Neodiprion lecontei: one gene and its partner. The protein of the gene in region 1 interacts with the protein of each later gene in a pairwise test. Links are inferred from orthologs where the notes say so. Each region holds a gene or a part of one and is shown on either strand. Other genes may lie near its edges. The genes, in order: golgin subfamily A member 2 and cyclin-H.

Evidence for each region.
Region 2: the proteins of golgin subfamily A member 2 (region 1) and cyclin-H interact in binary tests that used the Homo sapiens proteins (3 or more experiments, as listed by UniProt). The link is inferred for Neodiprion lecontei from reciprocal best matches to the Homo sapiens genes GOLGA2 and CCNH.

The regions. Positions count from the first base shown.
Region 1 is NC_060261.1:34,109,243-34,126,725, forward strand, and holds golgin subfamily A member 2, read left to right. Parts: upstream 1-6,793; 5' UTR 6,794-7,201; coding exon 7,202-7,240; intron 7,241-7,427; coding exon 7,428-7,520; intron 7,521-7,627; coding exon 7,628-8,323; intron 8,324-8,421; coding exon 8,422-8,617; intron 8,618-8,718; coding exon 8,719-8,884; intron 8,885-8,968; coding exon 8,969-9,110; intron 9,111-9,225; coding exon 9,226-9,420; intron 9,421-9,538; coding exon 9,539-9,760; intron 9,761-9,838; coding exon 9,839-10,024; intron 10,025-10,099; coding exon 10,100-10,351; intron 10,352-10,430; coding exon 10,431-10,809; intron 10,810-10,884; coding exon 10,885-11,085; intron 11,086-11,211; coding exon 11,212-11,405; 3' UTR 11,406-11,740; downstream 11,741-17,483. Other genes in the region: transcription factor Dp-1, read left to right, coding at 235-353, 938-1,004, 1,341-1,438, 1,891-2,054, 2,435-2,597, 2,781-3,142, 3,283-3,365, 3,446-3,529 and 1 more; COP9 signalosome complex subunit 9, read right to left, coding at 5,910-5,947, 6,071-6,143, 6,399-6,467; 60S ribosomal protein L35, read right to left, coding at 11,882-12,113, 12,266-12,402, 12,654-12,656; heparin sulfate O-sulfotransferase, read left to right, coding at 13,553-13,664, 13,779-14,008, 14,253-14,338, 14,414-14,552, 14,634-14,731, 14,854-15,011, 15,194-15,405; N-terminal Xaa-Pro-Lys N-methyltransferase 1, read right to left, coding at 15,696-15,951, 16,074-16,182, 16,262-16,448, 16,656-16,823; probable pre-mRNA-splicing factor ATP-dependent RNA helicase mog-4, read left to right, coding at 17,295-17,463. UniProt on the Homo sapiens protein: Peripheral membrane component of the cis-Golgi stack that acts as a membrane skeleton that maintains the structure of the Golgi apparatus, and as a vesicle thether that facilitates vesicle fusion to the Golgi membrane.
Region 2 is NC_060263.1:34,014,236-34,031,020, reverse strand, and holds the start of cyclin-H, read left to right. Parts: upstream 1-7,724; 5' UTR 7,725-7,839; coding exon 7,840-7,956; intron 7,957-8,566; coding exon 8,567-8,791; intron 8,792-8,921; coding exon 8,922-9,095; intron 9,096-9,293; coding exon 9,294-9,519; intron 9,520-9,620; coding exon 9,621-9,732; intron 9,733-9,895; coding exon 9,896-10,037; 3' UTR 10,038-10,046; exon of another isoform or gene 10,047-12,697; intron 12,698-16,785. UniProt on the Homo sapiens protein: Regulates CDK7, the catalytic subunit of the CDK-activating kinase (CAK) enzymatic complex. CAK activates the cyclin-associated kinases CDK1, CDK2, CDK4 and CDK6 by threonine phosphorylation.

The DNA of each region.
Region 1 (17,483 bases):
AAGATCAATCAGTTGATTTGCCTCTAAAATTTGTGTACTACAGCAGCATTGACTCTTGAAGGACGAATGCCATTCAATATGAAATCTTAAATATTTCAGTATTCCCTACTGCTAAACACTTGATACTACTCAGAAGAGCCATCTAATGTACATACATTAGTTGATTAACTGAAGTTTTGGATCATATAAAATTGTTAATCTGTGATATTTTAAAAAAAATAAACTTTCTTACAGGCCAACCACAAGTTATTAAAGTGGTTCCGAGCACGCCGAATAAAGCACTAACTGGGCTTGTTAGCACCACAAATTCCGGGAGTTTGAAGGTATTCAAGACACCTGGCCAAGATACCCAAGTAAATATCATTTAAAATATATAATCAGACTCGCAACATTTGTATCATTTTTCTAATAATTACCATATATTGAAAAATTGCTCTACCAATATTCAACAGGTTTGCAAACATATTTTAATTATGTTATACAATGAGTACAATCCATATTATTCTGCACTCCCATCTTGAATATTTTTTACGGTTCCCATTTGTATGACTACTGAGTATGGTTCATAAAGCTTTCTAAGATGACACTGAAGCTCATATTTATAGACCTATTCGGATGAGCTGATTCATATCACAATTTAACCCAATGGCCACAAACAGGAGTTCTCAAAACAAAAATTCAAACTGTCTCACAACATATAGTATTTCTGACGTGTGCTATCTTGTACATTTTTTAATCAAGGGATTCAATAGATGATACGCAGAATTATCCCCGCCTGCTAGTGTAAGCTTCCAGCTTCTAGCTTCAACTTTGTATTTACAGGGTGCCCAGTGGTCAGTTAAATGTGTAGCAATTCGGGGGATATTGAATCACTTAGTGAGTGGGCACCCTGGGTTCATTGTGATGATATTATGACCATTACTGTTTGCACACTCAGGTCTTGTCCAGTGGGACACAAGTACTGAGAACCATCAGTTTGCAAGGTTCTTCAACACCTGGTCAGCGTGAGTATTACAGATTCTTACCTAGTTTCTTGCAGTACATATTGACGGATCCTATGAAAACAGAAGTATTTCGATGGGTCGGATAGAACACTTATATTTTGCCGCGCAATCTAGAATGGATGTAACTTAAAAAGTGTTACAGCATGTCCATACAGAGCTCTATACACAACTTTTAGCATCTTTTAAGATAGATCCGTTTTAGGTTACCCAGTGAAATACGGCCTTTCTATCTGGACTGTCAAAATATGTTTGTTTCTATAGGACCCATCTATATATCTGTCTTTTCAGTTATCAGAAAGTTCACATTTCTCATGTAACAAAATATTTTTCTATTAGGCTTAGTTACCATCCCTGTACAAAGTGCAAAAATGTCATCTGTAAAAGCTGGGGAATCTGTAGTGACAAAAACAATACAACTTACAACTGCTCGAATGGTAGGTTACAACATCATGAGCATTGGGAAAATATGAATCAGGAGCTATTCAAAAAAGACATTAGCTTTTCCTGGGGGATCCTGGATTATGTGGTAGTAGCATAAAGCACACTGGTGGGGGTGCAGATGAACATAATGTTCAGTTACTGTAGGTAGATTTTTAATCATCTGCAGCCCAGGTTGATTTTATTAACGTTAGCTCTACTAGTGTGGTAATATTATATATTATATTAATTTTTATCATTTTGTTAAAAAGTTTCTATTGAAATGAGAGTTTGTATTTTCAGTATCTAAAAACTATCAGAAGTGGATTTGTTAAATATCAATTCAGGGGGATTAAAGTAAATGAATCCATTAAACAAAGTTGATGTATTTTTTGAATGGCCTCTGATAAGCTTGATTGGATTTTGTGTTATGATTTAATTTTTTTATTCAAATCTTTCCATTCAACAGAATGATTTTAAACAAGCGTTGGTATCCCAGCCTCAACAACAGGCCAGCAATCAACAGCAGATTGTCAAAGATCAATCTGGAAAGACTTTCATCAGCCCCATTTTGGATCACAGTGGTTCGAGGAAACGACAGGATGTCGAGAGCAGCGATTTTACCCCAGAGTAGTGAGCTTGGACTATTCTTAATAAAAAACTGAACCTTTTCCTGACGGGGTTTATCTCTGAATATTGAATGATGCACACGTTTGGTTTTGAAATACATATCACGATGAAATATCATAGAACTATTGATCGTCAAGTAGCACAATAAATTCACGAATCTTTCAAAAAGTTCAAAACAGAGGACAGTTTAGAAACTTATCTTTAAATAAAACATGAATCATTGATTTCAATTTGCAATGTGCAAACACATGTCACTGATATTATCTGACTTATTTATCTTAAAGCAGCGACAACTTTTAAGCATAGGATGCATATCAAAGTATGTGTCTGAAATCGGGAAAGGGTTCGTTTTCCAGATTAATAGATCTGTATTAAATTTACAGCAAACGGAGAAAAACAGAAAAAGTTGGAAAGGGGCTTCGCCATTTCTCTATGAAAGTCTGTGAAAAAGTGAAAAAGAAAGGTACGACATCATATAATGAAGTTGCTGATGAATTAGTTGGCGAATTCACCAACCCTGCGCACATAAATTCGTTAACTGATCAGGTAAATATCTTTTATCGTTGATATTTGGAACCTTGTTGTCTTTTCAGGCAACTCACAGATAGTGCTTCAAAGTTTGATCTTAGGTGCAAAAGTACATAGAGAAATGATCTCAGTCTTGCCAATGAGTGTCAAAATTTGCTTATTCAATTCCAATTTCACTCAGGATTAATATCTCTTTTGCAGCAGTACGATCAGAAAAATATTAGGAGACGTGTATACGATGCATTGAATGTATTGATGGCAATGAATATAATCTCCAAGGAGAAGAAGGAGATAAGATGGTTGGGTTTGCCCACAAATTCGTTGCAAGAGTGTTTGTCGTTAGAAAAAGATAAGAAAAAGAAAATAGAGAGAATCAAAGCCAAAACTCAGCAGCTGCATTCGTTAATTTTGCAGCACATATCGTACAAAAATTTAGTTGAACGCAACCATAAAAACGAGAATTTTCATGGACCACCTAAACCTAATTCTGCTATACAGTTGCCATTCATAATAGTTAATACCAGTAAGAAAACTGTTATTGATTGCAGTATTTCAAACGACAAGTAAGTGTCAGTCTTTCTTTTTCATGTAGTATTTTTTTACACAAAATTAGTTCATGTTTATAATTTATAGGAAAGTTCGATTTGCATATTTTACACGTATCTACGAGTAATGCTTCTTATAATATTTGTATTACTTTCAGAACCGAGTACCTGTTTAATTTTAATGATAAGTTTGAGATCCATGATGACATTGAAGTTCTGAAAAGAATGGGTTTAGCCTTTGGTAAATACTAATTTAATACTTTGTTCCAAATATTGATAAATTTGCACGAAAATCTCGGTACAAATGTACATTTGCTTCAGGCCTTGAGAAAGGAGAATGTACTGATGACGATTTACGGAAAGCAAAAACTATGGTACCAAAGTCCCTTGAAAAATACGTTGAGCGTAAGTAGCTCTAGTTACACTTGATTTTATTTTAAGGTAAAGGTGCTGTGGCATAAATCTAATATTATCAACTAATATCCATAGAATTGGCCTCTGGGGATTTGGAAAGATTCATTCCTGTTACAATTCCTGGGCCGAGTACATCGATGGATGAACTGGAAATAAAATTAGAGGAATCTGGATCTCGGCCACCTTCTTCTTCTCGTACCTCTCTCTCGGAAGATCCTTTGTCTCCACCTTCCCAGTTTTTCTCTGAGGAAGAAGATGAAGAAGAAGAAAGCGACCAGGACGATCAAGTCGACAGTGATCTTGAGGCTAACTAGCATATCCATTCATCATCCTCTTAACATATTTGGTAACCACGAAATTGGGCTTGCGGTGTCGTTTGAATTACACAAACGTAAAATCATTTTTATAGAAACACTTTGCATCACCAGGTGCTTTGTATTATTATTGCGCCACGTTGCCGAAATCGTTGGATGCAACGGATTGATTATACAGTGATTGAATTTTCATGCCTTCTCACTGAAATGGAGTCTCATACCTTACTTGGTTGGCTAATTTTTGCTGACGAAATAATCGAGACAATATCAAGGAATACATCTTAACATTGCCGAAACAATCTATTTTGGCTGTAGGAAGACTCCAGAATTACATTCATGTTTCAAAACAGCTGAAATTAAATTTTATATTACTGGAAGGTATATTGTGTTGCAGGTTGAGAAGTGTAATGAACTAATAACAGCGAGTAGGGTACATGTCACTTTCTTTCTTTTATGGAATAGCATAAGACTAATGCGTAAACGTCCGTAAATCGTATTTCATGCCACTTTGATTGTTATTGCTCGGATACGAAAGCGACGAGTTAGCTAACCGACGTGCACAGGGACTGAAATTCGGTGCTATTTTAATCATGCGTCGTGTCGTGAATTTAGACACTTTAGAATGTATGTACTATAAATAACACAATTATAATCTTACATTAATATTATTACATGTATAAAATATATCTATACCACTCATTTTCTTATGGCACGTTTATGATATCTGTGGTTCACAGCAGGACGCAATATAGCAAAGGAATACAGAGAGAGGTCTAACTAATTTGAAGTGAATAAATTGTAAAATTATTACAAGTGACTGTATATTTTTTTTTTCTTCAATTCAAGTTTTTAATACATTTTTATTATTTCTGCGTAACTTTACTATTCCGGATATAGAATGCCAAATTTTTATTTGAGCGCAATTTTTTCCGTTAGAAAACATATTTAATTCACTTGATATGGAAAATTCATTGAACTTTAAAAGATTACTTGTAGAAATTTATTTTATGCATACTGCTGTATCGATTTTGCGTATTTTATTGAATTAGTCTTTTACCCAAAATAGGAATTTATGTTGCAGTTCCAGTAATACAAAGTAATCATTAGCTACTTATTAATAATTAATATTCTTCAGTTTAGAAATTGTTATTATTAACAGGATTAAGTGTGATACGATTATTTAGAAATAGGTATTTACGTAATTTCTCTTATTTCCGAAATATTTCAACTCTTCGTTCCATTAATGAGCATCTTGTAAATGTTTAACATGGCTCAATGCGAATTTTGTTTTTGGATCGAAAAAATATTTTTGAATAATATATAATAATTGCAATCTATGATTAGGTTTGTAAATGATTTTAGAGGTCAGCTACCTACAAACATGTGTTACTGACAGTAACTGATCTGATACTGAATATGTATCATGAGGATAGGGTCTGTAAAGCAGCATCTTCGGACATATGTCAGAAAAGTGTATCTTGTACACAATAATTATTACAACATTTCACAAATAGCTGGATTAATTGAATGATTGTAAATAAATTTGGACCTCTCATTTATATTAATTGGTCGTTATTAAATTACTATGTTCATGCTATACTTAAGCTTGTCTGAATTTTTGCCATTATTTAGGCTAATGCAATTTTTAATTTTCAATTGATATATGAGGCATTATATTCTGGCTAGATGTAAATAGTTTTCAATGCCATTTAAACAAATTAGTTTCATCTTTAGTTAACTAGGTTCTTTCTATTATTAGCTACTTCTGGTTAACATGTGTGTGCTATATAGATACATTGCTCAGATTGTCACAGCATCCTAAAATCTGAGTTGTAAAGCAGTTCGTGATATTTTGCTTCATTAAGTTCATAATAATTCTCGCGAAGTGAAATGAATATTCAACAGAGTTATCTAACAATGATGAAACAAATATTTTTATAAGAACAGTTTATTCAGCATTGAGTGTTTCATTTTTTGTAACACAAATCATTATATCGGTATTACTCGAACTTATCAAGTTTGAAAGAATTTAAGACCTTTGTTGATCACAGTGTTCATCAGTTCAGATCCTCATCATCGAACAAATCATCGAAATCTAAAATAAATATAGTGTTTTTATCAATGCACATTTCCTGCAGCGCTTTTATAAAAGAATAAACCTTTTTGGCACAGAGTAAAATATATCTTCATCATTATTTGATACAAAACAAATTCTTACCATTGAAAAAGTCAGCATGCACCGCTTTTTCATTAGCAGCAAGATCCATCAACAATCCACTGGATCCACCAGCCTAAATAATGAAAAAAAAAAAACATCAATAACTTGCAGAGTATACAATTTTTTTTACTACCGAGCAATTTGATCTTGTTTGTCTGGCTGACGGTGTGAGGGTATTGGTCAGTGACGAGCAATTCTAAATCAATGCAATGCAGATATACAATCTAAGTGATCGTCAGCCCAGAAATTAAGTCACGTTTGACAGCTTTGGCACGATGGTTTACGATTTGAACGTATGTAATTTATGTTTTAGAATGTTTAACGGAACCTCTTCAAGATCCATATATGGACCAGCGCCTTCGGGGAACATTTCATCGGCCACAACAGTAGGTTTCATGTCGACACAATCAATTACTTGATTTGAAACAACAATTCGACGTAGAAATAGGATGAAAAATTCATATGCAATTGTTCTAGTTTAACCATTAAGTGTACATACCTATATGGAAACGTTGACTTGAGAATTCGTAATCAACGACAAAAAGAAAGAGATAGAATTACCAAGCAGTGGTCTCATTCTCTGAGTCGGTAACAGTAGGGAATTTCTGTAGTGCGAATTCAACTACAGAAAAAGTGTGCACCGAGTCCAAATTTCCTAGAATTCATCCAATAAACAGGCAAGAAAACCAGTGAAACCACACGTAAACGCACTTGTGAAGTTGAATTTGCCATAAGATTCTAAACTAAACCATTAGCGAAACAGCAGTGCTGCCTTTTATGCTCCGCATTTCGTATCGTGTTTCTCGTTTTCGTCAACGTCATCGTCCTCATAGGTAGAGAGGATCTTCCTCTCTGCCATAGCTTTCTCTTTTTAATCAAGGCTCACTGTGAGGTAGTAGTCCATCTCTATTAGCTATGGTGCACAAACACAAATGACTTAATACACCTGCATATCAGGACAATGTGTGTGAGTGGTGAAGTGGCACGTAGAGCGTAACCTCACAATGTTCTGTCATATTGTAATATTTTGCTCTATGTATTGTAAATAATTAATAGAATAAATATTGCGCGTGGATTCTGCACCAAGTACACTGTTTGCTCTTCGTACAGGTCAAAAACGAACCCTCAAAAATGAAAAAATCTGAAAAACTATTAGCAGCCAGAAAAAGGGTGAGAGCAGAGAAAATATAGTTATCTTTTCTGCGAACTTTTCGCTATTATTCATTACCGATAATTTCTAATCAAATGTTCGTTGTAATTACTTTGTGTAATATTTTCAAAATCGAAAATTGTAATGTACACACACAACTCACATGAATTAGTATCACATACTATAATGGATATTTCTGTATCATAGCTCAAGGAATTCCAAATGAGTAAAAGAAGTCACATGGCAGATGATACTTCAAAAGATGTAAACGAAAATACAGAAGAATCTACTCCGTCACAGGTGAAGAGAATTTCCGTTGTCCTTATTTAATCTGAACGAAGGTAATACCTTCATTAAAAAGTTTGATCTCTAACCATTAACATGGGGTTTACTTTATGTTTGTACAGATCGACAATACTCTTTATAACTCTGATAATAATTACAACTACCGGAAAATAGGGTCCCCAATAAAAGAGACTCAAACACCATCAATAGACAGCCAAGTTTCTGAAGCCCCTCAGCAAACTTCAGAATCGCATGATTTTTTGGAATTCAATTCCAATGGTGATATCACTTCTGCTGCTACAAAGCTGGTGAATTCTTCAAATCCTACTAGCGTTTTTCAAGACACTGTTGATTTCACTGTTCAAGAAAAACTGTCGGAAGGTTCCAGTATTATATCTAATTTCACAAATCTGACAGATGATGTTTCTAATAAACATCAAATTAATGACAATCTGATTAATGTTGAGAATTATTTTACCTCTCAAAATATAACGAATAAAACAGATGAAATTGATTTAGAGCAAGACATTTTATTAAAAAACGAGACACACAATGTAAATGCTCATGCAGAGTCAACTAATAATCGCAGTGGTTTACATACTGAGTATGAATCATTGGTCGGATCTCAGGCGTTGCAGAAAGAATATCTACTACAGATGACATCTGCCGTCACAAACATATTGTCAAGTGATATGGAGAGTAAAGACGTGCCACAAGAACTTACCTCTGATTTGGAAAAGAGAAATCAATTCTTGGCATTCTGCTTGCAAGAACAAAAAGAACTTGTTAACCGATTACATCTTGAAGTCAGCCAATATGTAAGTTTGGTGAAATCATTGGTTCAGACCAATTGACCAGCTAAAATCTTCATATTAAAAAATTATACAATTTCAATGAATTTTTTTTATATTCACAGAGGACGAGAGTGTCAGAACTAGAAATGATAATGACTACAAAGGATACAGAATTTGAAGCAAAGCTTTATCACGAATTGAATCCACTCAAAGAGCAATTACAACTTCATGCACAAACAACTGGCATTCTTGTAGGAGAAAAAGCTGAGCTTACTGCTGCCCTCGTTCAAAGTCAAACAACTACCAAGCAAAAAATTGGTAAAATTACTTATATTTTGTTAATATAGACTTGGTATTACACGCTAAAAGTAAAAATTTTATACAGTATAACAGATTGATAATCAATTACTTTTTATCAGCTGAAGTCGAAGAATTAAATGGAAAATTAAAATCGGTCCAACTCCAAGTCTCTGATTTAGAAAGGGAACTGAATTCTGTGAAAAATAGTAGCGAAGATGTCGGAAAAGTGAATAACCAGCTTCAATCTAGCTTCTACTCTTTAGAGGCGAAGTATTCTCAAGTGAAGTAAGTTTGCGCAGTCATGGGCCCTCATTATTAGTCTTTTATGACATATCATTGGATCTTTATTGGACGTTTTTATATTCTAAGACAAGAAAAAGACGACTTGGAATTAGAGACCGCTGAATTAAGGCAGAAATTAAATGTTAAAAATACTGAGTTAACTAACATTCAACAAGAATTGAAAGAAAAAACTGCCTTACTGTCCTTGAATGAACTCCGAATACAACAGGTACTTACAGTTTATTATAATCTCTATTCGGAACTCTATGATCAGACCTAAAATTGACCCGAAAATGTAGTGGAAATTAAGTGTCCAGCATGCCATATTCCAATCTAATACCTAATTACAGATGACTTCTACGACACAAGAAACCCAAGGTATCAGTGAGCAACACCATGTAGTAGCCGCACTGGAACAGCAGTTGAGCCAATTAATGGAAACTCTTAAAGCTGTCAGTAGTGAACGTGACGAAGCTAGTAACCATTACCAAAATTATGTTCAACAACTGAACAACCAAGTTACCACTCTTGCTCTGAAGGTAAGCCAACACGAATTTGCAATTTTGATTGCTGTTCTTAAATTATATTTAAATTGCAACGCTGATTACTGCAAATATTTTTCTGTTGCATCTTATTCATTTATTAATTATTTTTTAGCTCGAGCAAACTACAAAGGAGAATGCAGAAATAAGTAGTCGAGAGCACAGCCTTATTCAACGGTTGTCCGATCTAGAACGCCAAATACAAAGTCAGAAAGAAATACCTGAATCTACACCTCCTGTTATCAATGACAATAAAGAGCGAATTGATGAGTTAGTCAAAAATATTGATCAACTCACTTTAGAACGGGATAGTCTTCGAGCAACACTTCATGAAAAGGTGATTTAACTTTCTGGCTGAACTACAATAGTCCTCTAGAATGAAATTGAATATTTTACTTTGTTTTCTTCCATCTAGGATTCAGATATCGATGCACTCAAGCAAGAAATGGAAGAGTTGCAAGAAATGCGTGCAAGCAATGCTGAGGCGTCCCGTTTAGTCTCTGCTCTAGAAGGTGAAAGATTAGCGGCAGCTCGGGCTGTCTCTCAAAATCAACAGTTGAAACAGCAGTTGAGTGAAATGCAAGATGCTTTCGTACAACTTGTAAGTTAATTTAGAATAATTATTTAGTACATTGTCAAAGAAGCACAGTTTGTGAAAACAATTTTTTCACTATAGAGCAACACAAAACTTGATTTGACGGAGCAGTTACAAGGAGAGAGGTCGATTGGAAGAAAATTGAATGCTCGGTTGAATGACACTGAAAATGAAGTACAGAAATTGAAAGATGAAATGCAGGAAAAGGATTTACTCATGGCTGAGTTAGAGAAAGAAAAATTACACATGGCTCAAATTGCAGATCAAATGCAACACTATCAAGCTCAGTCTAATCAGGCTAGTACCTTGCAGCAAGAACTTCACAATGCGCAGGTAAATGTGACTAATTGGAACCATGAAATGTGCTTGTATACAAAATCAATTTGTTACCAATACAAACATTGGAATTTAGGAACGGATCGAAGTTTTAATGAAAGAAAATCAACAATTGATCAGCGAATTGAATGCTGGGACGATGTTGAATGATTCAACCGTTCAAAATCAAAACATTATACAGCCCAATGGTGAGTGTAACTTGCAAGCATTGAATGACGTGGAAAAACTAAAATTATCAACAGCAACAACACAGACTGACAATGAGTCGTATAGTATTGGTGACACGGCCCCGCCAATTAGCGAACAACAAGCAATGATGTCAGTTTCGCCCGAAGCTGTGAAAAAGTTGGAGGAACGATTTAAACATACTATGGAACGTGTTGCTGAACTCTCAGACGAAAAACAAAGATTGGAACATCTCGTTTTGCAGCTTCAAAGTGAAACCGAAACTATAGGTTAGCGTAGCCACACTGAACCGTTATATTTCAGGTGTAATAAAACCAGGATGTATAATTAAACATCTCTTTCAGGCGAATATGTTACATTGTATCAAAAGCAGCGTGGTGTCCTTCAAGAAAGGGCTAAAGAAAAGGAGGAAGCATTCCGCCAGTTGACAGAACAACGAAACACACAACAGGAACAGCTGCATAAACTCAAAATGCTTGTAGCTGAATTAATTAAAGAGAAAACTACGTCTACCACTACATCTGCATTATCGGATAGTACAAACGGTATATATTAATTCCTGTATTCAGTCCACATTGCTATTTCGATTACGGATTCTAAATGTTTGTTGGTTTTCTCGAATTTTTTTTTTTTTTTTATACATTGTTTCATTTTTAACATGTGTCTTCTAGAAGATGGTCTAGAAGCAAGCAAACACGTGGAAAACAAGACATCCTGTCAATCGGAAGTAGTTGCAGTCAAAGATAAAACTACGTCTCAAATTCTTGATCTTCTGACGGAAATTAAAGAATGCAAGGATACGTGTGCCTTGGAACCTAACTTCCATCCATGCCCATGGTGTTCAGGAAACTTGATTACAATTTAACCTTAAAACCAGTCATTAACTTATATTGCCTTAAAATTATTCAACTCTCAATTATTATGATTACTATAAACATATTCCTAAACAGAACATGTCAAAATTGTACATAAAATGTTGAAGTATTTCATAAATTTATACAATGTAGTACTTTCTTTTCAGTTTTCCTTTGTTCACTAACTTGCTTGTTTGCCAACTTATCGGCAGACTAAAAGTTATGAATTAAATTTTTTTTAAATTTACTCTCATATATAATTATTTCTAGGCTTTCAACAACAAAAAGTTCATTAATATTTTGATTATTTAACATAAACGGGTTGCAAGTAAATGTGAGCATTAAAAATAGCCGCTGGTCTTGTTGATGAATAAATTTACAAAGGAAAGGAATTGAAATGAGATATACACAAGTTAAATAAACTACCATAGAATAGTTTTATTGATAAATTTTGTTTTAATTTTTTGAGTAAGAAATTGAACTGTGTTTAAGCTTTCACGGCATATTTCCTGATGGGGAATGCAGATCGCTTGCGAATTTCTTTCAGAGTCTTACGACTCGCCTGGTAAGGAGTCAAGGCCCTGCGAATTGCTCTGGTCTTCTTTGGCCTCAAGTCTAAGGGCTTGTACTTCTTATTCTTGAACAAGCGTCGTAAATTCTCCTTTTGATACTGGTGCATAACAATGTACACACGAGCAATAGCTTTGCGAACGACGCGACTGAAGGTAAAGAGAAATTCATTGTAAATTAGGCAGCTTTAGTCATTCATTACATTTGACAATAACAGTAAACCGGCTACTACTTATCACATAAATATAACATAAGTGATTCAGAGCGAAAGATTAAACTATAAGGGGTTAGAACAGCTTACATTTTTGAGAGTTTGGAAGCGGCACCTCCTGTCACTTTGGCAACTCTCAAATTCGTCAATTCAGTTTTGAGCTCATCGAGCTGTTTGAGCAACTCCTTCTTGTCTTTCCTCCTCAGCTCGGAGCACTTGACCTTACCCTGAAATATCAATAGAACACTCACATAACGTCACGCTTAGAACACCTAAACAACAATTCCACATGGAAACCGCCAATGTAATAATGTTTTATTCAGGTTAAAAGAAAGAAGCAAGTCTAGATTATGGGTATGATTTTACAGACCGGCAATACGTAAAATTAACCTGAATTTGTGTATTTTATTTGTAAAATTATGTATGAAAATGGATTCTTTGGATAAATACGGATAACCGCAGTAAGAAATCCACAAACCATCTTGCTGCTGTTTGGCTTGAAGAAAGAGGGATTCGTGACCGGAACCTGGATTTTAGCTACAGGAAGTCAAGGATTTCAATTCAGTGGCCGTATGCATCAACACTTTTGTGTTCTTTCGTATAAAGCCATATGTCAAGTTAACAAAATTCAAAAAATTGACAAGACAAATATTCTTAACATATGAGTTAGTTTGGCTTAGAAATTTTTCAAATTCGAAAAATATTCTTTCATAAAGCATCTGTTAAATTACAAAACTTTATACCGACTTTACGTTAACGATGCTGACTTAAGAGTAGTTAATTATATCTCCCACAGAGCGCGCCGTCACCGAGACTAACTGTGAGTAGTTATTTATTGTAGAGATCTGAGGACTAGCATTAGCTCCGTAAGTGGTCGTAAAATTCAAAATTCGCCTGACGTCCTATATTACGGCAATCCTCTAAAGCATTTGATCGTGTTGCGTATAGCTTACGTGGTGTTTTCACTCGGCCATTGAGACCACAGAGATATATAAAAGACGTGTTCGAAAATTGACTGACAGTACGGTCAGCAATCTTTTATCTCTTTTGCGCTTCCAAGTTCGTGAATAGCTCTGACTCTGTCCTAGGGAATTTTGAGTACTGTCAGTCAATTTACGAACACGGCCAAAATAGAGCGTAAGCAACGGCGTAAGCGACCTGTGAACGGATTTGAATCGGTTCTTAAAGGACAGAAGATAATAATTCTCCCATCCTCTCTGTCTCTCTACCCATGGAGTGGGGCCAGGAGAGGGGAGAACAGCTAGGCTGCTGAGCTATGCATAAGTGTGTGTGACAGCGCTTTATTTTCATCGCTGACAGCGCGATGCTTGCATCGTTCGCTTGTCGCCTAACCTTGTTGCAATATTTTCGTTTAAAATGATAGTGAGAACATTTCCAGTACAGTGGTTTTTCGTGATAGTATTAATACTCTTAATTCTATATTTCAAAATAAGAATCAGTTACCTTGAAGAAAGTACTAAAATCCTGCGTAAGTATTTTTACTAATTTATCATTAATCAAATGTGATACAACTTTATGTTATATCACAGATGCATAGAAAATTATAGTCAAACAACGTTCAACCTGATTCTGTTAATTTCAGAAAATGCATTGGCTCAGATGGAAAAGCGAAACAACATCGAATCGCTTAGTCACACTGAGGACAGCCCATTATCAAGTGTCGATGATGTGGTCGTGATATACAACAGAGTACCAAAGACAGGCTCCACAAGTTTTGTGGGCATAGTATATGATCTATGCAAACAAAACAAGTATCATTCCTTACACATCAATGTCACCAACAACATGCATACACTTACTCTTCCAAATCAGGTATTTACTAAGAAACCATCTATTGCCCCAGGAGTTGACAGATAAATGTGCTAATTTTGATTGAAACAATCCAAACATCCAAAATTTTGTGCACAGTGTTTGACCTCTAATATACTGGTATAGAATCACGTGCACAAAACTGAAATGCATTGTTTTATTTAACAGAAGTTCAAATGTTTCGGTATTGAATGCATATATTTGAAGGAATTAAAATAGCGTTTACGATAATAGACTTATCTTTCAGGTACAATTTGTAAATAATATTACTCAATGGGATGCAATGAAACCAGCTTTTTATCATGGTCACGTAGCTTTTTTAAACTTTGAAAAGTGAGTATCTTTGTAAGTATGTGAGAACTTTGAGAGAAATTCAATATATTCAACGACTTAATTGATTATTTTCAGATTCGGAGTTAAGCGTACACCGTTGTATATAAATTTATTACGAAAACCTTTGGACAGATTCGTATCTTATTACTACTTTCTAAGATATGGAGATAATTTCCGACCACACTTAATAAGAAAAAAGCATGGCGACACCAAGGTATTATCAATTAGCATATTCCGCTTCTTTCTTCCTTGTAAGATTATCCTTTGTGAAGATAACATACCTTACATCTTACAGACATTCGACGAGTGCGTCAGACATGGACAACCTGACTGTGATCCAAACAATATGTGGCTTCAAGTTCCGTTCCTCTGTGGACACGAACCTGCTTGTTGGTATGAAGTTTTTACACTTAATATGCTTGGAAATCAATTGACTGAGAATTATTGTGCAATTTCTTATCTTTTATAATCACAAACGTATATTTAGTTGAATGTAATGATTTAATTGATTAAAGGGAAGTCGGTAATCCATGGGCAGTTGCAGAAGCTAAAAGAAATGTAGAAAAACACTACCTCCTAGTTGGAGTCACAGAAGAATTACCAGAATTTGTACAAACTCTTCAGGCTACACTACCACGATTTTTCAAAGGAGCCTATGATCACTTTATGCATAGTAAGACACGTGTTAGATATTAAGGATTGATAATAGTAAAGCATAGCATGTTTTAAAATTCAATCAAATTTTTAATAATTTTTCTAGTCTACTACTTTTATCCACTGGCAATGTCTTTACAATATAACGCAACTACAGTTTGTGATAATTTAAAAAAATCTCAAATCAATTAATTTTTTCAGATAGCAAGTCCCACTTACGACAAACTACCCAAAAAATTGACCCTCTCCCAGAAACTGTGAAGAAAATTCAAAATTCGCAAGTATGGCAGATGGAGAATGATTTATACATGCATGTTTTGGCTCATTTTCACGCAGTAAAAAAGCGTGTTATAAACTCAACGCCGCAGGAAGCGAATCAACACTTCATGTATGAAAAAATCAGACCAAAATGAAATTAAACTATGGTAAATTTAAGAGTATTGAAATATTTTTATTTAGTGAATCGACACTTTGTATCTGAAAAAATTAAACCAGTTGAGTATAAACTTTATTGAATTAAAAAGTGTTAAAATTTTTAAAAATTATTCTTGTGTATGGTTTTCAAGTGGTCTTTCTTGTTTTTCTTTACAATTTCATTCATATCAAAGAATTAAATATTAACAATCATCATATATATATATTTATTGTTGTGTGCAATGTCGGAATTAAACTGATCTATGTGATAATTGTGAACTATTTATTTCTACTGTAGTACATTGCTCACAGAATTCCGTATGATTTTTCTAGGTCGTAATATGAACATATAAACAGGATAAAGACCTCGTGGAAGTCTGGATTGTTTTTGTTCCTTTACAGAAGAAAATCCAGCCAGATCGAATAAACGTTGTAATTCCTTCAGTGGGCGTGTTACTGAGGAATCCTGTGTATCAACTTCAACGTTTTCAGAACTTGTTATATTTTCTTTTACTATTACCACGCCATTCTCTTTGAGTCCTGCCCTGTTGAATATATTTTACAAAGTTACAGATTACTATTTTACATTGTAAATTATACGGTAAATTCTCATTTCCACTGTAAATTACAATACTGAAACAAAATATGAATAGCAAATGTTACTAACTGACAGTGGCTGAAAAATTTTATAAAATCGTTATCTTGTAGATGTCCTAAAACCCATTGACACCATATGACATCATACTTCCCTACTTCAGGACAAAAGTTTTGCAGACCTGTAAGAGTAATATCCTGTAAAGTATTACATGTATTATATGTAAATTATTTAAGATTCTCAGGCTTTTACTTTCATACCTATGGGAAAAAATTCCCCAACTCTTTTTGTACGACCAGCGAGGTAAGTTTTTGCTGCTTCTAGAAACTCGGAATTTTGCTCAACCAAATCAACTTTTTTGAAGTGTTTGGTAAGTAGATGTTTTGATATTCTGCCAATCCCAGAACCACAGTCTAAAGCATATTCTTTTCTCGGAGGATTTTTTAACTGAAACGTGCGTTATATGGAAATCACAGAATATAGATCAAAATATATTTTTGGAATCAGCCTTCAGATGGATTCCAAAATTATACGAAAGCACATGTGGGTTTGAATTTTGAGGTTACGTTCCTAGGTATCTCGGCATCAATGTGGCGAGCATCAATAAAATATTTATGAAACACAATTTTGTGTAAATTTGACTGAATACCGTACCTTGAAGGCTGATCTTAGAAATAATTCCGACCCTTCGATATCTGTGTTCGAAATGAACCCAAATCCTCCTAACATTCCATCCTCTGTGGCTGGGACTTTAGACCAGTAGTTGGCAGCGTCGGAATAAAAATTTTCAGTCCTTTTGTCATTTTTCTGAATATCATCCATTACTAAATTGATATTTTTAAGATTTGAGCACTTTTTCTAATTTGTTATACACATCACTTTCATTGTGTAATTTTAAAATGTACCCGGGTTATTCAATTTTTATATTGTGACTTTATTATGATTATTATTGTTTTCCTCGACCGTTCCAAAAGGCAAACTTATTTACCCGAATGTGTGTGCATCTCAAACACGATTTTTATGGCTGATTTCAAACTATTTCAAATTAGTGGTCAGGTTTTTTTGTATCGTGGTTTGTTGTTTAACAATCGTATTATCATTCCCGGTCCCGTAAAATACGCACGTTAAACAGTTTTCATACATTTACCAGAACTGTTAGTGAGTATTCATCTGTTGTCCAGCGATAACATCGAAATTTAATAATCTGCTTCAACCTTCATTTCAGTTACTAACCGTTGTGATATAATTCAGGACTTAGCCTAGATGAGTCGTTGAGGATTTTAGAAACAGAAAATGAGCAAGTATAGGAGGAAGCAATCGTCGCCAGAAGACAGTGACAGTGACAGCGAAGAGGAGAGGCGCAAAAGGGATATTAAGGAAAGGGATGAATTTGCCAAACGTCTCAAGTCCAAAGATGATACGAAGGTGCGCAAGGTTGCTACACCAGCTGGATCCGGGGCTGGTAAGTTTAGGCAAAATGTC
Region 2 (16,785 bases), on another chromosome or scaffold:
TGCCTGGCGCTTAACCGGCCGAGAGGGGCATACTATGAAATTAGTATAATCACGATCAAAATTACCGGAGTTCTGCCGCAGAACCACCAACCGCCGGTCAAATAGCGCGCCTTGCACTCGCCAATCAGCGAACCGGGATCGGCGGCCATCTTGCACTCGGCTCGACTCCCATTGGACGACTCAAATTACCGCGAAAGTGGATAATGCGCGCGAGAAATTAACTTTGTTACCCGCTTTGCCTTGCTCCTTTATTATTCCGGTCTCAAGAACAACGAGGGCTGTCGATAGCTGGAGACTGCTAACGCGAAACAAAGCTCGGAATATTCTATACAAGGCTGAGATTTCGCTACTTCTTGGCCCCCTCGTTTTGCTATCATCATCCTCGATCGTTTGAATCTGCAGTTGCAGTCCAACTCAAGTGAACTAAAATTTCGTGTAACGATTCATGGAGACTGGCTCACGAATTCTCACCTTGAACTTGATCCCATTGACATTCTTGCCGACTTCAAAAGACGAGGAGAAAAAAGAGCACGCAGTGACACGCCAGACACCAAAACGGACACATCAACATCCTATCATGGGTTTCGGCGGAGAATGAATGTACCGATAATTTTGAATTCTTACGAAACAAAGGTACGTTTGTAAGATCAGGAGTTGAAAGCACGATGAAACAGTCCAGAAACTATAATCAAATTCTCAGTTCCAATTTCCTTAATTCTTCTGCCCATGCATCTGAATCCATGTCCCGTCTGTCCGCGGCTGTGAAAAACGTGATATGATACCGGGGTGTGGTAGATGCTGCATGTTAAAAGCGTCGCTGTGAAAATCAGCCTCAAGATAAAACGGCAGCTCGCTCATTAGCAGCGTATAATCCGACCGGGACAACTCAAGGTCTGGTTCATCGCCGGGAGAGAGATTGCTCTGGATGAGTGTTATACTTAGGTGTACTCACGAAGAGAATAAATATCACGCTAGAGTGTCGGCGGAGTTGTATAAACAATTAAACGGCCCCTCCTTCGGGGCCGGGCAGCGTACGTCGCGAACGTAGGAAACGCAGAGTCCAGAACGCAGCGGGAATACGGAGATGGAGAAACTGCATGGAACACGAAGCACGAATACGCATGAACGCAGAAGGAGAACGCAGGAGGCAGGAGGCGTTCTCGTTCGAACGAGAAGGCTCGCGGCTAGGGCGGAAACGCTCGCAGCTATACGCACCGGGATATATTTTAACATCACGCTATACGGTATCGCGGGCATACGTACGTGCATACCTATATCGGGTATAAAACATTTATTTGTATAATTACATGGTAGCGCTGCAACCGCGGGAGCTGTTGCCCTGCGTGCCGGCCGAAAGATTCCGGAGATATTAAAAACTATGGAAGAGCTACTATGTGTGGATCCGGAGAGCTCGATCTTCCTTATCCAGGGGTGAAGATCGCAACGTGGATTGCCCACGGAATTCCGGCCTTCGCACCGAACCCATCACCCAAATACTCTCTGGAACTTTCATTCCGGATTAGCCCATCTTCGTTCGATATCCGCACCGATCAGAAATTCATTCGGCAGGTCCTACATTCCTCTAAGGATCAGTTCCTCGCCCGTCGGATGGTTTCCAGACATCGGCAGTTTCGACCAAGCGACGGCAAAAGTCATTCAACTAAACATCTCCCGCATTGATCTGCTTTATATATACGAAGCGGAAGCAGACAGAATTACATAGTTCGTAAAAACAGGGGATGCGAAATGTTCCCATTGGTCTTACGCTAATTTTTTTCACCTACGAGTTCCCGAGTTTTCGTCTTTGATGATGTGGTTTTGGGTAACTGTCTCGATTCAATGAAAAACGAAACCTGAAGCAATGTTGTCTTGACCGCAAATATTACACCAATCATGCGTTTTCTCAACCCATTGGATTCTCTGTAGTTCTTCTTTCGTCTGTTGTCCAGACGTTCTAGACGTTTACCTCCATACTTGGTTCGAACCTGGGTCAGGTTATTTCATACTATGAAGATTTCCGCGAGCGATATTCCTTATCTACCTCACGGGATCGTTAATTTGCTTACGTAATTCTAGAGCAACGGGGTTTTTGTGTCAGGGTTCTTGCAGTGCCAGGTGAAACAGAAACCAAATCGCACCTGCATTTTTCTAAACACACCTCTTCCTCGTGGGTTTGAATCCCTGGCTTTTCTTTGGAAAGGTAACACCGCGGCAGCGAATGGTCATGATCGGATTGCTGAAATAGCCATTCCCCGGTGCATTCACCATGTTCCATTATACCTTCAATAGCACAAAGTGTGACGAATACCGGTTAACTGATAAGACCGTAAATTGATCTCCATCGTGGAAAACGTCGTCCCTTTTGTCGCCAAAGAGTAGCGCAAGGACCGGATTGAAGAGCTCGGCGTCAGGACGTCGGGCCTGCCATCCGCGAAGGATCGAGTGCTTAAGGTTCCCCTCGACGCGGAGCGCCGCGATTGCCTTGGGCGTCGGTTGCAGCAGCGGGTCTAGCCACCGCTCTGTCCTCTGTAATTATATCGTATACGTACTACCCTCCGTTCTTCCTTGTTGCTCCTCGTGTATTTTGTTCGAAGCTGGTCCTGCCCCGGGCCAAAGATGCGCTCGGCAGTCTGCTTCGAAGGCCTTCGGAGAACGGGCGAGCTCCGATCTCGCCAACGTTCCTCAGGCCCTCCCATCATCGGACCAAAATGACTAACTGCACCTCGTACTAGTGTCCAAAGCTCCGTACAGAGCGATTCAAAATTTAATATTTTCAAACCAGCTATATACCTGTAACATACGGTGCTTCGTTCTTAGCTACATCATTCTTTCACCCGCGGTTGCAAATGCTTCGACTTGTCTTCACAAAAGCTCCCTTTGAATCTTACGAAAACGGGTTACGAAACCAAACTTACTATATCATGTCGAGTACAGATTAATAGGTTAAGACTCTTTTGCAAACTTAATGTAAGTGCACCAGTTATTGACCCTGTTCAAGTTATTGACCTTTTTTTGTTGTATCTGTTTGATCCTTAGATCTAAAATTATCAGAAAATAAATTTGTAGCGTCTAATCATCTAGCAATTGGTTTTAGTTATCGAAAAATTCATAACCTCTGCCACAAGTTTATAATTTTGGAAAAAAAACTGGTCAATAATTGGTTCTAAACGTATCAATAACTGGTACACTTACATTATACACAAAATAACGGTAACTGATGTTCGTAGAAAATATTTCTCCGTGTATGCAATTAATGCTCATTACGTTACACAAGATGAAGATGGCTTACAATTCTGCAAACATGTGCTTGTAAGAGTACGGCGTTACACCAAGGTCGTAAATAGTTTAGCACGTATGCAGCGTTGTCGTTTGTCAGATCCCGTGACGTCATTGCGGTGGGAGTTATCGCGAGGGAATAAACGTTTCCACCCGGTGATGTATGGAAGATACGCGCATGCATTAAACATGCCGGGTGTACCTGTAAATAAGTTTTTGCGAAACTTATATGGCTCGAAGAGAAGGCCCACTCGTGCGGGGAGGCTTATATGGATTACGGAGGAAGGCTTCACGCAGCCGCGGCGCTGATACAGTAAGTGGTGTTGTAAAATACTGCCGGTCAGCACGACAACTTTCGTTTAAGTGCCAAAACAGATTTTTAATTGTAGGTCAAGAGCCGCGGGTTAATAATTATTCTCAACTAAATAAAGTGGAATTATTCATCTATCCGATGGGACGACGGAAACCACGAAACGTTGATTTAAGATTAAACTGTACAGCCCGATCATATTTCAGAAAGATTAAGTCCAGCCTAGATTCTACCCGAGTGACAAACATTTCCCAGCATTTTCCTCAGCCGCCATACTACAAAGTCTTCGCACCGTCAACAGGCGCGAATTACTAACCTGATAAATATCGTAATCGAAAAAATGCCGGTAAATTAACCGCACCTTCTCAGTCTGATTAAAACATTTTTTTATGTACCTTGGGATCGATTAATCGAACACCGCTCCGCGACCTAACTACAGACCTTTTTCGTTCACCTATCAGCTTGGCCAAGGCTCATCAAACGCACACTCGTGGGGTATGTGATTTGCGACTGCCCAAAATTGTCCTAGATCAAATATCAATCGGCCACGACTCGGCCGGAACTGTACATACAGTGTGCCATAAAATGGACGATGGTTGATCGGCGACCAATTCATACGCATGTTACAGGATGCATGAAAGCTTCACCTAATCCATCTCCCTAGTTCCGAAAACGTGGTTTACCGAATGACGAGTGACATTCAACAAGAGGTGTTAGCGTACCTCGGTAAGCTGACCGCCACTCTCCACCTTGCACATTCTGCGAAAAAGAAAAACGCTTATGACACCATAATTGTGTAGTATCCTGTAGGAAAATTAAACTCTTCGAAATCGAAACGAGAAGGGAACAACGCAACGCCGATGCCGACACACACACCATCACGCGTCTTGGGCCGACTTCTTCAAATTCCGCAGGACAAGTCGAAGTGCGGTGGAGTGGCAGCTGGCGGCCATTAATCTAATATTGTGGTCGCCGACGCCCCCGCGAGTACACGCTCGCGTGCACAACCGGCCCTCGCGCCCTCTTCCTGCCTCTCCTTCACCCCCCGTTCGCCACATCCCTTAACCGACTTGCCACACACCATCGACTGTCGGGGGACGACGGCAAGCACGCGGAAAGGAAGCAACGCTAATGCGGAATCAATGCAGGGGCTGCCGACTGCTGATGAGGGATGATTAAGGGGCTGGGGGGAGATTAGGTGTTACGACCAAACTCGATTACTTTCACACCTCGAGGTCTTTGAAACACCAAATTTCAATAAGAGATCGCGATGCAGTCGAAAGTCTGATCTGCCCCTTCGATCCTGAAGCTTCAAGATATTCAAAAGCTTTACCCTCACGTTTCGGGTGACGAAACGTTCGACTGTACTGATTGCGCTGTTAAAAATTTTTGTATGGAACTGCCTGCGCTGTAATGAAAGTTCTGTAATTTCACCATATGTTTACAGTTTAATCAATTTACATATAAAATAAATTTACTACACAATTTAGTGAATTCGAATTACTTTCTTGTCTTTTTCATGTAAATTTTAGTAAAATGAAAAATTTTCCTTGTAAACTTAAGACAAACGCATAGTAATTTACGTTACTGCACCGAATTTGTAAATTTGTTGTCTAATTTCGTAAATTGACAATTCTTTTGTACAGTAAATGTCTAGTAAATTCACAATAATTTTCAACGGTATCTGACACATATCCCGTATTTTGTCGCATCGAATGAAATTTTGCACAGTAAATGTAAATCATAATTACATTTGAGCATCGTGATTCCGAGAAACATGCAAGTTTTCAAGAAAAACTTGCTACCTGGAAAGTAATTTCTGCAGAACCGTTTCAAAGGCCATCGAAGAGGGCGTTGTGCCTGTGTCTAGGACTATCGATCGAGCACTAGAATTGAACTTCTTTGGCAGAAGCACCGTCATTAGCTTCCATCAGGGAAAGAATAATTCCAATCGTGGCCAAGGTGCACGCCAAAGGTGCATCAGTTGGATTTAGCGTGAGGCGCCGCAGCCGTTGATTGTTAAGCCGGCGTCGGCCGAGGCGGAGTTTCTGACTTGCCGTCGGTAATGCTTTCGAATCTCGAGCTACACCGTTAACAGCTAACCACTATAAAACTGAGCTCGATCATTTTTCTTTCTTGGAATCTCCCGAGTCGAAGAAACGCTTCAAATAATTCATAATTTATACAGTATCGAGTATGATTTTTATTACGTTGAAGCTCTGCGACGTTGTCGATTTGACCGTGAGAAAATTACAGAATTCGACCGATATATAATATGTCGCGATATTGCTGCAGTCAGCCTCTAATGTCTAATGTTAGACTTCACGCACAGCCTGACGGACCATTCGACATCCTTGCAACTATTACACGTGGGCATTTACGAGTTTAAAGCAGCAGGTAAACTCCGACGAGTAAAAGGTCTGTATCCGACAATCAGATTGAGATTCGTTCGGCTGCGATAAGATCACAACAACCGTGACTAACGAAAGGTGCCAAGACCGCCTTCCGCAGAAGAGCGTTTTGAGATTGGCGATTCGCGATTTGGGAATGGGAGGCGTGCATATGGATTGAAATTTACTTTGCAAAACTCGGCTCGTTACGCGAATGAATTTTTATTATTCCCCCGGAAGTCGGATGACCCCGATGAGTTCTTGAAGGTTTCCCCAACTGTCGATACTAATTAAGACGGGGTTGGGATGTAACACCTGCCGACAGGGTCAAATGTGATACAAACACAATTCGAGCTTACAACCAGTAATCAAGCGGTGACTTGCAATTCATAATCGCTTTAGTCGATTATACGACATGATATCAGCCGCCGTAAATTCGTCAGTCATACTTTCATAAAAAGAAAAGGTCAACGAGGTCAATTATTGCGAGACGAACAAGTAGCATTTAATATCAAACATGAATATTATTTATGCAATACCGCGAAAAGATAAATCGCAATTTGAACACTCTTCTTAAGACTCTCATCGTGAGTATAGTCGTTAATTACACATCGAGTCGTTTTTAGTACATAATAGAAGTCATATTCGTTAATTAAGACGATAGTGACGACTTTGCTCAAAATTGCAGACAATAGGCAACGCAACGTATAGCGATTGTTTACCCGAAAACAGCCTTCGACTTATAACATGGGACATTTAATGCGACATATTAAAAACTGCTTTATTACAACTTTTGCTCGATGAATTAGGCCTAATTTATATACCATGACATCCACCTGCGGGATAATTCAGCTCATTTCGAGAACTTGAAATCCAACAACGCGCGAAATATATCGTTCTACCAACGGAATATTAATTATACTCTACATGTATGAAGTATCGCATAACGATATCAGTGTTCATGATTGTGATTAATTTATTCCCGTAATATTCCCTAACTTCTCGATATACTCGGAATCCAAGGATTTTTATAACCGACTGCACTGCAGAGTAGCGAGCTCTATCCGTAGCTTCGTGAAGTCTTTGAAGCAACACCAATTGACCAGCTTTATATGAAACACCTGCAGGAACGCTACTATACCGATACAAATTAAACACTTTGTGTCATTTGTATAAGCTATTGGAGATTTCCCTGAACATTAATATCAAAAAGATGATAAGTTTCTTCCATCGAAATTTAAATGTTCCTGTACCGATTCATGATTTGTTCGCACATTTTCTTTGCTCAACCCAATAAGTAGTTTCAATTCGATCGGTGGTGTATTAAAGGTTTTCTTTCATATAGCTATCCATTCGCTATTTTTTAAACTATTTAGTTTTATTCAGGCGATAGTAATTTCATTTGTAACTTTATTCGCATGTATTATAAAGTTTTAATAATAAGAAAATTTCAAATCCTCCCGCGCCTCCGCAGCGTTATCTAGTACAGAAATACATTGGCTGAAGTATATTCTTTCAATATAAAACAATATATATTTCAGATATACAACGCATATGCGTTGACTGAAGACTATCAGTCAACGGCATATGCCAAACCTGGCAGCGTGATGACAGTACCCGGCGTATTCAAGTTTACCGCCAAGCCCCAGCGGCCATTGCTGATTGCTGAAACCACGAAGTAGCTGAAACTGACCAGTGAGCAGGAGTCTCATTTGACGCCATTGCTCAGTGAGCACTAGTGAGCAGCGCAACAGGAAGCGGTAGGAAGGCATTGGAGGACAAAGACGTTCGTCGCAGGGTATCTGATTAGGGAGTCTTTTACGGTGCGATTCAGCTGCTCACGCGATATTAAATATATTGAAAATGTTTCCAATGAGCTCTCAAAAGATGTACTGGATATTCAGTGATGAAAATGACATCACGGAACTTCGCGAGAAGACTAACTCGGAATTCATCGAGAAGCATGGCGTGAACGTGCCGGTGAGTGTTTATTCCAGTTTATTCTATCTCCCAATCGATATATCTATAGCTATAACCCAAAAAGCGTGTTTTGTCAATTCGAAAGAAATTACTCGACAAAAGCCAGTTCATACAAAGTTATGGATAATTATATCAGCTTCGAACAGCGTGCGTTTTAACATTTGATTCACCAATCGAAAATATTCCATCTTTCGCAAGCAAATCTCCGTACTCTCTAATCGTCTTTTATTTTGACATACGTATCAATTACGTGATGAACATTCCGCGCGATTGCAAAGCAATTACGGTGTTACCCGGTGGATAAATTTATTTGAGAATTTTAATTATACACAACGTGTACTGGAGAACACGCTATTTTGAATCTTTGATCGTACATAAATGCTCACGCAGTTTGTTGATTAAATACCTATAAACTTGGGGACGCCAAATAATGGCGGTAAAAATGTCTTCACCGTTTGTGGGAAGAAGACTGATATTTATACGGACATAAAAATTCTTGCCTAATATTCGATCGGCATGCTCTGTGTAAATGTTGTCCCATACATTTGCGTTTCCGTCAAGGAGTAATACTTTGTCTTTGAAAAATGGTTCGTTCTTTCCACTCGTACAGCGCGATCAAAGAGAGGAGCATTTCCTAACGACTTCGGAAGAACGGATATTACTCAAATTCTATGAATTACAACTCCGAGACTTCTGTCGCAGATTTGTTCCGCCCATGCCAAGACCTACCGTAGCAACTGCGCTTCACTACTTCAAGAGGTTCTATTTAAGGAACAGCGTTATGGATTACCATCCTAAGGAAATCCTTGTCACGTGCGTCTACCTTGGCTGCAAGGCAAGTATTTGTAATATGAATACAATTTAACATACTTGCAGAGATGACTTGCAATTAACTTTTTTTTATTGCGATGAACAAAACTTCAACTGTTTCCAGATTTTATTATTTTTTCAATTCTCTTTCTTAGGTAGAAGAATTCAATGTCTCAATATCCCAGTTCGTAGCGAATATCAAAGGAGACAGAGAAAAGGCATCAGACATCATTTTAAACAACGAATTGTTACTCATGCAGCAGCTCAACTATAACCTGACTGTCCATAATCCTTTCAGGCCTGTAGAGGGCTTGATGATCGATATAAAGGTGAGTGTAGCTTACGAAGGGAATCTACTTATTTTCCAAGCTGCAGAATCATTGGCTGAAATTTTTATCTCTTATTTTGTAAATTTCTCTTGACAATTCAGTTTTAACTTAAGCCCTTATTTCTGCTATTCATGGTTCACTCATCAAGATCATATCGAGCCTTTTGTAATTTTCTATTAATTTTTCCTGTGTTTTTAGACCAGATGCACATCACTTGAAAATCCAGAGAAGCTCAGACCGCATATCGACGATTTTCTTGAAAGAGTGTTTCTCACAGATAGTATTCTGATTTACGCTCCGAGTCAAATTGCTTTGGCTGCCACCTTGCACGCAGCGTCGAGAGCTGCTGCTAATCTAGACAATTACGTAACAGACACACTGTTCTCGAGGGAACATTTGCCAGGAATCATCGAGGCTGTTAGAAGTAAGTCGATCATAATCGTTTTTGGGGATGTTTCATCATCTTCGTCATTTTTCTTCTGACACATTATCACCGATTGTAACTATGTCATATTAAATTTTCAGAAATAAGATCAATGGCCAAGTGTGTTGAGCCTCCAACAAGAGAAGTGGTCCGGTCTCTCGAGAAGAAACTGGACAAGTGCCGAAATCAAGCGAATAATCCAGACAGTGAAATGTAAGCCTTGCATTCACGAATTTTTGCCAAACATTTTTTCCGCACGTAAGGCTGGTCTTCAAATTCAAGTACCAAATGCCAGTTCGAAACATCTAATTGTGCTACTTAAGTTATTACATTTTACTTCTTCACTTAACTGTGTACCTTTACTTAACTTTTTCAGTTACAAACAAAGAATGCAGGACATGCTGGACGAGGATGATTTACGGGATAATGAAAAATACGCAAAAATCATTCAAGACCAAGCAGAGCATGACGAGAAAGTATTGGGCGTGAGTAAATCTCTATCTCCATCGGCGTTGTAGCATCGAAAGGTTTGCCACTAAATTTCTCAAAAGACTTCAACTTACGAAAATAAGTAATCTTTAAGCACAGGGCGTAGAGGACTGTGTGATATTTCACACTTATCATCGTTTCATATTCAGTCAGTTGCACTAGCATATCTTGCTTCTTTTGTGCTACATCTTGTTTTCATTTCTTTGAAATTACGAAAAGTGATCTACAAAATTTGAGTATTCACTGCAAATCCTGATTGAACCCATATGATTCAATTGTATTCGACAGTGTCACTCATAATGTTCAAGACAACAGTTTAACATTTTCCACCCCATGTTTTAATCATTTTGGGTGTCTAGCGACATGATAAAGTTGATAATTCTCTAAAACTTGTAAAATGAATCTAGTTTCTTGAATTTTGTACTATTAACTTTCTTTTACAACTAGACTCTGAAGGTAAAATTCTGCTATATAAATAAAAACTAGCGAAGCTCTCAATAAAGTCTATATTTCATAACATATACAATACTTAAAAGCAATGAACACCACTTTATTTTTGTAGATGAAAATAGTGTTTTTGAAAATTGAAATCCTTGAAGAATTATAAACTGTATCACAACTGGATATCCCCTTAATTTCAATTTTGAAGTAGACTCAGGCAGCAATAAAACTTTATTCCTAACTTAACCGTAATGGCCACTTTATTGACCTGCAAAGGCCGACAAAAGTAGCTTATCATTCCCTCTTGTACTTTTCTCCGCAAATTTTTTTTTTTTTTTGTTCCCTTGTTTTTCCCTTAAATGCGGTTTCAACTTTTAAAGTCAATAAAGTTGCGACAGTCAAGTCCGGAATAAAGTCCTATATGCAATACGGCTATAAAGACTATTATTTCTTTATCACATAATGTGCTATTAAAGACAGTAAAATAAAAAAAACTAGAAACAAAATAGAATAATTGTTTCTCAGTTACTGTCAAAAATTGTGCATCTCTAACGACTACAATCTCGGGGCGTAGTACATAGGTATTCATTTTGTAATTATAAGCTTCCAATATCTCCAGTACCTTATAAAATATGTTCGTACCCAAAGCAATGATTTTTCACTAAATCGTAAACTAATGTAAATCAGCTGGCCGAAACGCGTGTATGGGGCATTCCACGTCAAGTCAGCCACCTCCAGGCCTCACTACCTTTGATTTCATTCTTCTAGGATTTTGTTATACCATGCGAAAGTGGTGTCTCTGATTTATTTAAAAATTTTCGGAGCCTCCGTTCCGGAGTTCTTGCAAGCCTAAATTTTACGATATTCAAAAATTTACGAACTTTTAATCGATGATACCTCCAAATTGAACAATCGTATCAAAAACAGTAAGGTGGTGTTTCGATTCGTCTTGAATTCAAGTGTTTGAAAAAAAAATGTTTTGCAGATATTTTCCGCGACGTTTAAGCTGTCGTAACTGATGTTCAAATAAAAAAATCAAAATTCCATCAAGTATATTATTTTTGAAAATTTTGAAACATTTTTTTTTCGGTTGACGAAGTTGACGTGGAATGCCCCATATACAAACTAATGGATAACAAATATGCGAATTATTCGGAGTACCTTAGGTAGAGGAAAACAATGTTCAATTTACGTTGTCCTAATGAATCAGTTAATTGGAATCTGAGTATCCGGTGCAATCGGCGTACAAAACTATTTACTTGATTGCTTTATCTGCTTGAAGATTTCTCAAATAACACTGTAAAATTTAACGCTACGCTACAACACCCGTGTTTTGCTTATCATCCAATTACTACATTTTTATTTCAAATGTGTAATCAACACCTGAAGTTTCCAATTTAGAAAATCGAAACCTAAGTCCACCGTGGCTTTTGGTACTGAAACAGCCACAAAGATTACATAACCACGTATCTCCTTAGTTCGCAGTTGAAATGATAGGGTGGCGACAGACTGGGAAACCCGGGAATAGTCAGGGAATTTCGTATATTGGAAAAAGACCGGGAAAAATCAAAGAATTATGATGGACTATAAAGAAAAACGTACTTTTTCTATAAATCGTTTTCAAACTTCAGCTGAGCTTCGTAAATTCAGTTAAGCTAACCGTCTAAAATGGTATCGTTCAATTTCTAAGTATTTGTGTGAAACTAAGCAATACTATGTGCTTTTTAGATCCAAATTTATATATTCAAGGTGCGGAACTTCTGGAGCTTTTCGTCATAAAAGCTGCTCCACATTACCTATGTTTTGTGGAAAAACGTTAGAGAATTCTGCATTTTTTAACCCTAGACGGGGCAACCTAATTTTTATACTTTCTACGGGGTAACTGGGGCATCGGAGTACCCCAAGCGTTTCCAAACAATACAAGCCTTTCTAGTTCCAATAAGATAGGTTTATTATGCATCATTTTCGTCGTTTTTTAATCAGAAACACGAAGGTATATATTAAAATCCCTTTCCTTTGAGATGAAAACGAGAAGAACTTGTTTAAAGCAAAAAAAAAAAAGGGCGGTGAAGAGCTAAAAATGACTTTTTTCAGTCAAAATAGTCTCATTCTTTTTCTAATTAACCGATTTCCAAAACTCCAACGGGATTTGAAAGGGAGTACACTGAGCCTTGAGATGAAATGGTGTATCGATTCATTTTTTTCAAAAAGTATAATTATTTATTTATCCGAAAACTGAAAATAACAAAAAGCCGTAAATGGGTGAAGTCAATGAAAAATTACATATTGCATCTTTTTTTCAACTTTGAATGAATTTTTTATTCAACAAATAATTTTTATAAATATAGAAAATAACCATCGAGGCTTAATGGTATACCGATCGGTTTATAGTGGCACAAATTTCACAAAAGATTGAACTGTGCTCGTCACAGACAGGTCGGTTACAGTTTTCGTAGAAAGTTTTTACTTTTCGGTCGGCTGGTCGTGGACAAATGGCACGTCTTACTTTTTATCCAGCCCGAGGTTTATCATTTCCATCCCCCTCTGAGTCCGAATCGTACATCATTTCTACATAATCTTCCTCTTCGTCATCTTCCGACAGCATATCAACAGCCAACTCTGTTTTTTCCGAAAGCGCCTCACTGGCCGATTTAGTCCTTGGTGTGAACACTGAATCTTTTAGGGAAGTTTTTGGAGTTTTATAGGCTTTGAAAAAATCTGAAAAAATTCTGGGTTAGGTACTTCTTGAAGTGTCTACTACATGGCCCAGAAGTTGTTTAACCCTAGGACCCTAGACTATCTGTATGAAACAAATACTCTACATACGGGTTACGCGCACCCCAGAACTTGAAGTCACCGTTGCTAGAGGACTGTTTGTCGTAGAGAGTTTTTTTCTTTTCCAATTGAACGCTGAAAGACTGAATAATGGAATAGGATATGCGACAAAAACCTATTATGACATTTTCGTCTTAAAAAATGCGATTGAATAAAGTAAGAAAAATGATTTCAGCTTTGTAGGAAATAATATATAAGATAACGAAGCTATCTTTCGAATAAGTTATAATGTCAATCGTATTAAATGTATATTGTAATATTCAATGGAATACTTCTTAAAATTCTACGTTAAATGTGTGAATACAAGTATATTGAAGCTTTGCAACCGCGTAAGTGTAGTAATGCTCGATATGCACGGTATTCAATCGATGTGAACTCTCCGAGGCGTCGTCACGTAATGCCCCTTTGACACCCGCTTTCTAGACCCACCGCATTCGATTCGTCACCCGTCTAATCTCAATGTCTATGTTCTGGCTCTCGAAATATTATCGGCTTCCCTGCCTCACCGCCGTGGTCCATACCAAGACGTTGACTTCATTCGGCCTTCCTAGATTTTACGACGTCCTCGTCGTAGCTTCGTCCACCTGTCAATCTGAAAATAAACGTCCACCACACGAAATTATCAAAATTTCCGTATATAGCAAGACAATAGGCGGGTGCGGCGTTCACTCCGAAATCAGAGTGATCAAGTCCGATCCAAGAGTTTCAGCCACCTCTCGTCATTGTCTAAATACATTTGGGCTACTATCATTCGCCCCACAAGGTTACTATCATTCGCCTGTTTCGATTACTATCATTCATCGAAATTCCAACGTGGCCTTACCAGTACTATGCCGTAGCATCAAAAATGACCCACGGACTCAGCTGATCCACTGCCACTACCGTTCGTTGCCCTGGCGTCTTCTTCATGTCCCTGAGGTCCTCGACCTCGTACCGGTCATTTGGTAAGACCGCCCTGACCTTGAACGGCCCCTTGGCCTTAGCATTCAGCTTCCGGCTCTCGCCCGTGGCAGGCGCAGCGCTGGATTTCCACATGACAACGTCGCCGACCGCGTGCCGGGGAAGTTTAAACCTTTTCGCATCAAACGCTCTTTTCTGCCTCCCTTGCTCTACAGCGATGTTGTCCTTTGCCATCTTCCGCAACTCTTCCAAGTCCACCTGATCCAAGGTCTCCTGAATTGCAGATATCAACACCGCATCGGCGATACTGCGAGGTTTGAATCCATACAGCAGTCTTCATGGCGTACTTCGCGTACTTCGGTTCGTGGTATTATTTATGGCACTCTGAACCTTCTTTACGGGCTGCTTGTTTTCCAGCCCAGTGCCGGCGTTAGAGGGACTGATACCCTGGGCAAGAATATTTTGGCGCCCACTTAAGGAAATCAAAATCGAGAGTTAATTTTTTTCTGAACCAATGTGAACGTGTATTAAGAATTCTATCTTTCCTTTAGCGTGACCCAGAGCTAACGACGTGGACGTAGAAAGTTATGTAGCTCCTCTTTGTTTTTTTCATATTTTTTATTGTTTTTTTTGTTTTTTTTTTCATTTTTTTTTTTGTTGATTTTCTTTTTTTGTTATCCAAAATTTGTTTTTGCATGAATTTAATGCACATTTTATATTTTAATTACTCTTCATTTTGATTTAATACTTTGTTAATTTTTGAATAACTTTCTTCCTTTTTTTTGTACTGTTCTTTAGTAAAATTTTACTTTTCGGGCCTTTTTGTCAGCAAATACACGAATTAAACTAGAAAAATCCAATTGTTCAACGATTTCATTTTCAATCGACAGAGTAGCCAAGTTAGAGAGTCTCGATTGAGAGGTTGTTGATCGGAGATACGTTTTTATTAATTTTAGTTTAGAAAAACTGCGTTCTCCACTTGCAACTGTAACCGGAATCGTTGCAAAAATCCGGAATGCAATCCATACATTTGAATAAAGTTCTTGAATATTCCGCTGTCGTATAAAGTTGAAACTTGACTTTCAAAGTACCTTTGCTGATATAATGAGAGACGAATTATATTCCTCTGCGATTTGTCTCCACGCCTCTTCTTTATCTTTAAGCGTTGATGTATCGCTTTTTTTGTTCTCTATTAGATATGTGCGAAAATTTCTTCAAAATGTTGAGGAACAGACGCTTCTCAGTTTCCGTATAGTGTTTTTTTCCGGACATGTTTATACCCCTACGAAGAAACATTTTAACCATAAAATGCTTTTATCTCGAAATTTTATTATTAAATAATCACGTTAGAAAATTAATATATATTTAAATTATCACATTGCTTTCATCATGATAGAAAAAATTATAATTTACCCATAATTGAATACTTACAGTTGACAAATGTTGGGTAGATAGAAAAACGTTTTTCTTGGATGACGATTTTTGGCTTAATTTATTGACTCTTGTATGAAACTGTAAAAATAACTTAGCCCACGTGACTTCGAGGGAAAAAATCCCGCGAAAAGTTAATTCTTGTTTGTGCCACTGGCGTGACAAGTGATTTCCACAGATATTCTGATTGGCCAATACAGCGGAAAAATCACGGAAGTAGCCGAATGGCACTTGAGAACTTCTCAAGCAATTGCTCGAATAAGTCATTCTTAAGCAAATTCTGGACCCATTTACTTAATAAAGCAAATCTTATTCTCTGACTGTGAATTCATGCAGTCTTCAGATCAGCTTATATGAATAAGCAAGTCTTATCCAAGTCAAGCTTAAGATCTTTCTCAAGACTCGACTGTGAATACGGCCCTTAGCTATCCCCATCATCCACCGCGCGTTCCAGTTTGGTGGGGGGTGGGGGAAGTATCCCACCTCCACCAATCGCCCCCCAAAATTTGGCGCCCTGGGCCATCGCCCCATCGCGCCCCCCCCCCCCCCCCCCCCCCTAACGCCGGCACTGATCGTCAAAGAACATAGAGTACACTTGGCTTTGTGCTTATTGCTTGGATCAGGGCTAAGCCATGTCCTGAAATCACTCTCATTTGTCCAAACGTTTCGAAATTTTTGGGGACGTCGCGTGTCAATTCTAACCTTCTTCCGGGGGGGCGTACTGGGACTATTATCTTCAATCCTATCCCTATCCATTACGATACGCGTGCGTACTTACATTTAACCTTCAGTATTTGTCGAATATATAAACTTTTCACAGTCACCACAAAAAGTTTTATTCCGCAATTTTTTTAATAATCGTTCGTGGATTACTTTTGGATGTATATTTTCTATTTCTGAATTAAAAAAATTTCGAAAAATGTCTTCAGAGTCATTTTCTTCTTCTACATGGAAGGTTGGAATAGCATCAATATCCTCAACTTCACATGATGAAGATTCAATATTTTCATACGTTAATGCATTCTGTAGAGTTTCAAGATTCTGATCTGATGAAATGTAATCGAGCTCAGCTTGCGACCTAACTTCATTCGGTTCAATGATTGAGTCATTATTCATTTCTTCTGGCTTCTTAAAGATCAATTCACTTAAATTTATGAAATTTTCATTTAA